2 linked regions of the Arabidopsis thaliana genome follow. The protein of the gene in region 2 interacts with the protein of the main gene of each other region in a pairwise test. Each region holds a gene or a part of one and is shown on either strand. Other genes may lie near its edges.

Evidence for each region.
Region 1: the proteins of KCO1 (region 2) and CDPK6 interact in a protein complementation assay, tested with the Arabidopsis thaliana proteins (one study listed by BioGRID).

The regions. Positions count from the first base shown.
Region 1 is NC_003075.7:12,324,202-12,329,625, forward strand, and holds CDPK6 (calcium-dependent protein kinase 6), read right to left. Parts: upstream 3,451-5,424; 5' UTR 3,215-3,450; coding exon 2,805-3,214; intron 2,561-2,804; coding exon 2,274-2,560; intron 2,195-2,273; coding exon 2,051-2,194; intron 1,960-2,050; coding exon 1,807-1,959; intron 1,717-1,806; coding exon 1,601-1,716; intron 1,500-1,600; coding exon 1,332-1,499; intron 1,264-1,331; coding exon 1,136-1,263; intron 1,049-1,135; coding exon 949-1,048; intron 850-948; coding exon 766-849; 3' UTR 557-765; downstream 1-556. Other genes in the region: TRH1 (Potassium transporter family protein), read right to left, coding at 88-90; PPT1 (polyprenyltransferase 1), read right to left, coding at 3,885-3,954, 4,048-4,144, 4,236-4,371, 4,661-4,726, 4,835-4,984, 5,071-5,140, 5,330-5,424. UniProt on the Arabidopsis thaliana protein: May play a role in signal transduction pathways that involve calcium as a second messenger. Functions in abscisic acid (ABA) regulation of guard cell S-type anion- and Ca(2+)-permeable channels and stomatal closure.
Region 2 is NC_003076.8:22,529,783-22,533,671, forward strand, and holds KCO1 (Outward rectifying potassium channel protein), read left to right. Parts: upstream 1-1,575; 5' UTR 1,576-1,654; exon of another isoform or gene 1,655-1,904; 5' UTR 1,905-1,935; coding exon 1,936-2,861; intron 2,862-2,945; coding exon 2,946-3,111; 3' UTR 3,112-3,340; downstream 3,341-3,889. Other genes in the region: AT5G55620 (uncharacterized protein), read left to right, coding at 591-896; AT5G55640 (Na-translocating NADH-quinone reductase subunit A), read right to left, coding at 3,462-3,752, 3,835-3,889. UniProt on the Arabidopsis thaliana protein: Voltage-independent, large conductance and potassium-selective tonoplast ion channel. Regulated by cytoplasmic calcium and pH. Does not mediate slow-vacuolar (SV) ionic currents, but essential to establish VK currents.

The sequences.
Region 1 (5,424 bases), on a different chromosome or scaffold from region 2:
AACAATTGTAATTCCGCAGGAGTAGCAATAAGGAATCTAGGGGTTTAAGATTTCCGACGTATCGGTCGAGAGAAGGGAGCGACATACCATGATTCAAGCCGCCGGCGAGTAAGATGCGGCGTAGCTTGGATCTTCAACGATCAGAGATTACACGCCGGAGACTAGTTCTTTGGAATCGGAATCGAATCTAGAGAAAAACGATCAACGATCATTTGTTGTTTTTATTATCGAGAGAAGAAAAATTTAACAAATTCGATCCAAAGCTCGCGGTCCTTCTTCTTCTTCCAGTTTTTTTTTTATATATATCTCAGTTGATTTTTTATTCGTTCTTTTAATTTTTTTTACTCATTTTAGTTGTCCGATTTCTCTGTGAGAAAATGTCACCAAGATTATTAGATTTCGTCATTTTTCATGTATAAAAATCGGATTTGAAACTTCTAATCCCTCCTACTGCACCTTGCTTATTTTTTTATTGCCTTGATTAGATATAATCTCAAATTTGTTTGTAAGGGTTAAGATTATCATTCTATAATTTTTTAAGTGAATTTCAGCTTCAAATCATGCAAGAATCAACCTGTAATTATTATATATTGAATCTCTCATAAGTCATTAACCAAACCTGCAAATGGCTTTCTGATCTCAAAGTATTTTTTATGTTGTGTTGATAAAAAGAGATTGCAGGAAACAAAATAATTGATTGTAACAGAAACACAAAGTTTGAGTAAAGTGATAACCAAAAACAAACAAACAACATCAAAAGATCTCTCACATTCTGCGTCGGTTTGGCACCAATTCTGGATTTCCCTTCTTCATCATCGCTACAAATTCTTCGTAGTTGATTTTTCCGTCCTAAAGATTCGAATACAAAGATGAGAAGAGAGTGTTAAACTTACACGTATACTTACAGATGTATGAATTGGACGAAACCAGAGATTTACGTATACTTACACGATCGGTGTCTACTTCAGCAATGATCTCTTTGATGGATTTATCATCACCCATGTTGTATTTCTTCATGGCTAGCTCTAGCTCTTCCATTGTTATGTAGCTAATATCACAAATCAAGATCAAAGAGTGAGACTTTATTTATAGCTTGTTAAAGAAAGAAATAGAGAGCTAAAGAACAATGTTTTACCCGCTGTTGTCATTGTCAAAGAACTGGAATGCGGTGTACAAGTGATCCTCACGTTCGATTCTGTTCATATGCATTGTGGCTGATATAAACTCCAAGTAATCAATTGATCCATCTCCATCCATATCAGCCTAAAAGAAACAAAGCATCATAAGCATTATTGCTTTGACATCAAAGTAGTGGATTGTGATAGACTTACTGCTTCCATTAACTGCCTTATTTCAGCTTCAGAGATCTTTGAACCAAGTTTTGGGAGACCGGTTCTCAATTCCTCCAAGGTGACTATTCCATTGTTATCAGTGTCTAGAGATTTGAACATCTCTTTAAGACCAATGATTTCTTCTTCAGAAAGGTTCTCAGCGATAACCTGAAATTGCAAAACGAAAACCAAAGATTGGCTTTAGAACAAGAAGACTACATAAACTACAATAGTGATGGTAAGACTGTTTCAATCAGTGTTTTAATTACCTTCAGGGCCATTTTTTTTAGTTTGTTCATCGCCCGGAATTGTTTCATCCTGGATAACACCGCATTGTCAAGCGGTTTGTCTGATGCCTCCCCATCTTCTCTAATCCACGGATGATCTGCGTATGTATCAAAACGTTATTAAAATTGGATAAAAGAAGGTGTTTTCATCAATTTATTCATCAAAACATGTTATAAAGGGGTCTTACTTAGCACTTCCGCAGCTGTAAGCCGATCTTTAGGGTCATATTTTAACATTTTCCTCACAAGATCTTTGGCACCATCTGATAGTGCTGGCCATGGATCAGCTGAAAAATCAAGTTGCCCTTGAAGAATGGCATCAAAGATCCCCGTTTCATTTTCTGCACAACAGAAAGAACGTGACTATACATTCCAGTCCAACATTTAAACAGTGAAACCAAATTCTCTTCTCAAATAAGATCAAGACAATACCTCCCCAGAAAGGCGGAACACCACTGAGAAGGATGTATAGAATCACACCAGCACTCCAGATATCAGCCTCTGGTCCATAGTTCCGTTTTAGAACTTCTGGGGCAACATAGTATGCACTTCCAACAAGATCCTTAAACTTATCACCTGCATTAATGGATCAACTTCATTAGAGGGATAAATTGTCTATAGAAATCAAATAGGGAAGGATAGAGGCTGTTCAAACCTGGCTTGAAGAAGACAGAGAGACCAAAGTCTGTAGCTTTCAATGGTGAGTTCTCATCTTTACTAAGAAAGAGAAAGTTTTCGGGCTTCAAGTCTCGGTGCATTACACCCATAGAATGACAACTATGCACAACCATCACCATCTGCCTACACAAATCCGCAGCAGCTCTCTCTGAGTAAAGACCTTTAGAAATGATCCTATCGAACAATTCCCCTCCTTCACACAACTCCATTATCAGATTCACAGAGTGTCTGTCCTCGTAGGCTCCCTTCAAGTCCACTATGTTCCTATAATCAACTCACCAATTTGAAACTCAGGTAAATATAAATATGCAAAAAGGGAAACTTTTTCAAGAGTTTAACATAGGACCACCAAACTTTTCATCCACATATGATGCAAACCATTCATTAATATAGAAAACGAATCCTATGTCTAAATATTCACCAATATTCCAACAAAAGGCGTTTCAGATTCGATTTCGGAAAATGTCAAAGAAGCATTTTCCAGTGAGATACAAAAAAAGAGATTTACCGGTGACCGCTGAGATGGTGCATAATCTGGACTTCACGGCGAACATCTTCAATGTCGTCTTTGTGAACAAGGCGGCGCGTAGGGATTGACTTGCAAGCGACCTGTTGTTTCGTCTCTTTGTGAGTTACGAGGTACGTGACACCAAACTGGCCACGACCAAGCTCACGACCAAACTCATAGGTTCTCCGTACTTCCTCCATCGGCCGACCTAAGATCCGACCATTCTGCTGAGTAGATGTGGTGGAACGAGATCCGCCTGTTCCGGAGCCTGACGATCCGACGGTTCCGGAACCGGATGATCCGCGGCGTTCTCCGGCAGGTTTAACATGGTGGACTACGTTGCCGGAGGAAGAGGAGGAGGAGGACGGTGGCGGATCGGAGGATTTGGACTTGCTGTGTCTGTGGCCCATTGTCAAAAGCTTTCTCTCAGTCAATAAAGTCAATCGAGAGAGAAAGATTGTATCTCCGATTCTTATGGCTTTTTAATGTCTGAGATCAGACACGATGACCACGTGGCGTGTTTTTATTGGTACGTAGTTGAACCGCGTATAAACAAAAGTATTTGTCCCATTGGAAGATAAATTAGTGGATGTGGAAATCTTCTGCATATTAGTTGTTTCCACTTCTCCAATCAATCACACGGCTAATTCAATGTTAATCTTTTGCAATTTGAGATTGAAAAAGGAAAAGTTATTAACATCCTTTAGGTTACAAAATCAATGATATTGCGTATGTCAACTATAAAAGCCAAAAGTAAAGCCTCTTGTTTGACCAGAAGGTCATGATCATTGTATACATACAGCCAAACTACCTCCTGGAAGAAAAGACATGGATCCCAAACAACAACAATAGCTTCTTTTACAAGAACCAGTAGTAACTAGTCACTAATCTAAAAGAGTTAAGTTTCAGCTTTTCTGGCAATGGCTCCTTGATCATTTCAATCCTGAAGGAGACCCACTTTGTAGCAAGACCATGTCCTCTGTTTCACTTACAGTGTGTCTCAAAAGTCTACTTCAATTCTTCATATATAGGTTCCTCACACTACAGCTTCATCCTCATTCGTTGACAGAGAGAGAGTCTTTATTGAAAACTTCTTCCAAGTACAACTCCACTAAATATAATAGCACCAAACCACTTGTTCGACACAAATCTGTACAGATATAAAAACACTATTAGGTTTTCCAAGGCAAATCACATAATTGGATTGTGAAAGAGTACAAAAGATAAACCCAAATTTTCATACTTTCTACTGCAGTCAGCACCAGATGATAAGTCAGCTGTCCCTATTTGCCATCCTAACTGTCCTGATGCAGCGGCCAGTGATGCGTAATATTGCCACCCTTAATCATTAGAGCGAGAAACAAAAAGAATCAAAAGACAGTAAATGGAATTAGGAATCACAAATGAGTCCTTGTAAAGTTTATTGAGTACCGAGATCTGCACTGAATCCAGAAAGTGCAAGAAAACCTATGGATGCTGTGCCAAATCCAGTTAACCAAAGCTTTGTATTATCACCGAATCTAAGGGCTGTTGACTTAACACCAACTTTTACATCATCTTCTTTGTCCTGGAGACACAATATATTAGACATTAGTCCATGGAAAAAAAATGATTTAACCTAGAATATCTCAAAATTACTTGCATAAAAACTGAACTTGAGCTGAAATTTTGGGTTCGTAGCTTGTGGCATATACTATTTCATTTTCAATGGGCCACAAAGGTAACTTTCTTTTCTCACTTCTGTTGCAAACGGGAAGACTTTTATGGGGCTAACTCTTCACTTAAAGTATAGAAATCAGATGGAAAAGGTGGGAGATCAGGGTAATTTTCTTCTTTATGATTGACAAAAGTCGAACATCGAAATGGATGCATTTGCATGAGACATGAAACAAAAGCTGAAAAAGAAATCTGTGGTGGTGAAGCTAGAAAAAGAAAACAAAGCAAGCAATATGCACACATTGAGATTAACTACTTTGCTACTGGTCATAATCAAATAGATTTTGAAGCTAAAAAATAAAAAGTGAATATACCTGATGTGCATAAATAGTATCATAAACAAGGGTCCAGCAGACTCCGGAGAGATAGAGAGGGAGTACAATAGATGGTGCTATGCTTCCTTTAACTGCAGTCCATCCTAACAATGCTCCCCAGTTTATGGTCAAACCTAAAAAGGCTTGAGGCTGCAATTATAAAAACGAATCAATCATAAGAAAATCAGAAAATATATAATGTCTAACTTTGAGAAGCCAGAATAGATTTAAATTACCCAAAATGTAAACCTCTTCATAAGTGGGTAGGAAAAGACAAGTAACAAAGATGAAGCCCCTAAAACACGGCTGCAGAATATACATACTGAAATGAGCTCAAGTAGAAAAGAATTTGATCACAAAACTAAAGACAAGACCTGAGAACATATCTTCAGAATTTGGGCCAACTACATAAGGGTGAACCATATGTGTATGTGAATTTTTAAACAAACACTTGCAAATACGCGACTTTAGGGCAAGTAAAAAATCCAAACAAACCTGTAATTGTTAAGTTGGAGAAGAATCCCTAAGCCTAAAAGCAACTGCAGCCCGAGAAATCCAATCCCTTGAAATGGTGTCAAAAGACCACTGGC
Region 2 (3,889 bases):
AAATATTAAATACTTTCACCTACTTTCTCCTTGCACACCACAACTGTTTTATACTTGTCCCCACCTAAGATAATGAGTGCATGAATGCATGAACCATCATTGGCCGATGCGTTTCCTGGTGCATGTAGCTCACAGCCGTCGTTCTCACATTTTGTTATTTATGATCATACTTTTTTTTCATTAAAAGGAAAAAGGTTTACTGGTTTGGTTTAGAACAAGAACTACTCGTTATAATCATACTTTTGTTTAATTAAAAAAACAAAAACAAATAATTTCTAGTACATCTTATATTACATACTATAGTTTGATGATAAAAATAAAATTCAAATGACGATTATCATGTCGAAAAGACAAATAATAATTGTCTTACTGACCTACCTGCCTGCCTCTATATATATACTAGTCTTTGGTCGCCTTTACTATAACCAAACATCGAGCTTGCCTTAGAGTTTGTCTCAAGCTTCTCCTTTTTTGGTATTTTGTCTTAAGCTTCCTTGCTTCTCTTTCTTCTTCTTCTCTACTCTTTCTCTCTATTTCAAACCTTCGTTTTCTTTCCTTTTTTGTATAAAATCTTAAAATCAACCAAGACAATGGAAATGAAATTGCTCTTTACATCGGCTTTCACCCAAATGTTCGGCTACTCGAACCATATGGATCAAGCCAGCAACTGCCAAAGCACCCGCAACAAAATTATAAAGATGATGAAGAAAGAAGAATTCCCAAGTGGATTCCAAGTCCCTCTTCACTACCCTAAATACTCCAAGTCTGATTACGAAGTTATGGATGATCTCCGCCTTGACTTGCTCCTCAAACAATATGGATTCTCCTTTGAAGGATCTCTTGAAGACAAGAGGGTTTTTGCAATTGAATCATTTCTCTGGCCTGATCAGCTTTAGATGGTCTATGTTGGTGTTGAATGATCTTATATCGCTCTCCACATGCATATCAATGAGCCTATACTCGAGTGGTTGAATGTTTTTAAAATTATGTCAAATTACCATGTATATCAATCACTTAGTAATGTTTTAGAACTATGTCAAATACTAGTGTGTGTTATATTTCTTTGTGTGTGGGGATGTTTTGAAGTATGCAATTCTTCACATATATATGTATCATATGAGTGCATTAATAACATCTTTGATGTCATGTATAACACTAAAAAAATGTGATTTATCGACTTATAAAAATCTTAACATATTGACATTAACATAAAACATATAGATTATTGTATGATATAGATTAAACATGACGTCATGCTGGATATTTTGGCTTATTGGCTTGTACATTACTTGTGATTATGAGTGTATAATATAAAACTAATTACTAGATTTGCACAAAAAAAAAACAGAAGGATAGAAAACTAACTAGAAAATTAAGACATTACATACATTCTTCTATATGAAAAAAAACATTTAAAAAACAAAACAAAACATTTTTATACTAAGATACTAATGAAAAATCCTATCAAGAAAATGAAGAAGATCATAAAAACAAAATTATCGGATTTGAAGAGAATAAATTTTGACCAAAAAAAAAGAAGATAATTAAAATAAAATAAAAACAAGAATTGGCCAACTGTGAGAACATCATCAATGAAGACCAATTGCGAGATCCGACAACACCGCTTCTTTTGATTTCGATCTTACTTTCCTGGGTATGTCTCAATTCTTCTTCCTCCTTCAGTTCGTGTTCTGTGTCTGATTGATTACTCTCACAAAACTCATCTTTTCATTGTCTAAAGGTCTAATCTTTAGCTATAACTCAAAATCTGTATCTAAGTTCTGACAAGTTTCTGTTACGAAATTCAAATTTTTTGATACATATGTTCATTTCTCAGAACAGGAGATGTCAATTTTGGCGATGGTTTTCGTAACATAAACATGAGATTTGATTGTTCTGTGCAGATCTCATAGTTAATCTGGTTTGAGTCTAGAAATGTCGAGTGATGCAGCTCGTACGCCATTGTTACCCACTGAGAAGATAGATACCATGGCTCAAGATTTCAACCTGAACTCAAGAACTTCTTCTTCAAGAAAACGAAGATTGCGTCGCTCTAGAAGTGCTCCTCGTGGTGATTGTATGTACAATGATGATGTCAAAATCGACGAACCACCTCCTCATCCGAGTAAAATCCCAATGTTCAGTGATCTAAACCCGAATCTCAGGCGAGTGATCATGTTCTTGGCTTTATATCTTACCATTGGTACGCTCTGTTTCTACCTCGTGAGAGACCAGATCTCCGGTCATAAAACCAGTGGTGTGGTAGATGCTCTCTATTTCTGTATAGTAACGATGACAACTGTTGGATACGGTGACCTTGTCCCTAATAGTTCCGCCTCAAGGCTACTTGCTTGTGCCTTCGTCTTCTCGGGAATGGTCCTCGTTGGTCACCTCTTAAGTCGAGCGGCGGATTATCTAGTGGAGAAACAAGAGGCTTTGCTCGTTAGGGCTTTCCATTTGCGTCAAAGCTTTGGTCCAACAGACATTCTCAAGGAGTTGCATACTAACAAGTTGAGATACAAATGCTATGCTACATGCCTTGTCCTTGTAGTCCTCTTCATTGTTGGCACGATTTTCCTTGTAATGGTTGAGAAAATGCCGGTTATCTCAGCTTTCTACTGCGTCTGCTCCACGGTTACAACATTGGGTTATGGAGATAAGAGCTTTAACTCGGAAGCCGGACGCCTTTTTGCTGTGTTTTGGATCTTGACGAGCAGCATATGTTTGGCTCAGTTTTTCCTTTATGTAGCTGAGCTAAATACAGAAAACAAACAGAGGGCGTTGGTGAAATGGGTTTTAACGCGAAGAATCACAAACAATGATCTCGAAGCAGCTGATCTCGATGAAGATGGAGTTGTTGGGTAAGAAAGACATCAGACATATTCTATCTTCTGTTTCCTTCTTCCTCTTCTTATTCTTTTTTTTTTGTCTATTGTGTGTTGCAGAGCTGCAGAGTTTATTGTGTATAAACTGAAAGAAATGGGTAAGATTGATGAGAAAGATATTTCTGGGATAATGGATGAGTTCGAGCAACTTGATTACGATGAATCAGGAACTCTCACGACTTCTGACATCGTTTTAGCTCAGACCACGTCTCAGATTCAAAGGTAAGCCTCATCATCATCATCATCTTGCGAAGACGAATCAGAATCTTTGTTTAGTTATACCTTCACACAACAAAAAGCCGAAGAGAGTGAACAGTTTTTCGAAATTTTGTTTGTTTTTTCCTGTTTGTGTTTGTAATGTAATGCCACACTCTAACTCTTTGATCGTTTCTTGATGCTGAGTGTATAATTTTACATACATCTATACATATGAAGCTCTCTAGTGTTATGCTCCATGACCAAGAATTCATGGATGATTCTCTCAAAGGACAGGGTATGAAGACTGTTTTATTGCTTTAAACTTTTTTGGTATTTTGATTGATACAAAACATTTTCAAAAGATAGCGGTTTCTCGCGTTATGGAAGTCGTCGTTTCTCGAACTGAGATTCATGGCAATGAGGGTCAAGCCAGTCTCTTGAAACACCTTTTCCCATATTAGTTCCTTTCTCTGCACCTGCACCCCCGCCTACAAGCTCTCTTAAGTTAGCCATTTTGTTTTCTCGACCAGAGCCGCTCATTTTCTGATCTGCTTCCTTGAGCATCTGCTTAAACCGCTGCTTGCGGCTCGATGTGTTACTACCACCATCTTGTAGCTGCGAAGGAGGAGCTCCATGTGGTCCTAAGTAGATGTTTTCTTCAGCTTTACTCTACAAAATCATACAATGAGAGATAAAGAGTTAACAACATTTTTTTGAAACTTGTCTTGTACGTAAGAAATCAATCACTAACCTTAGGAGAAGAAGGTTTTGATGTTTCAACTTCTGAATCATTATTATTATTAACC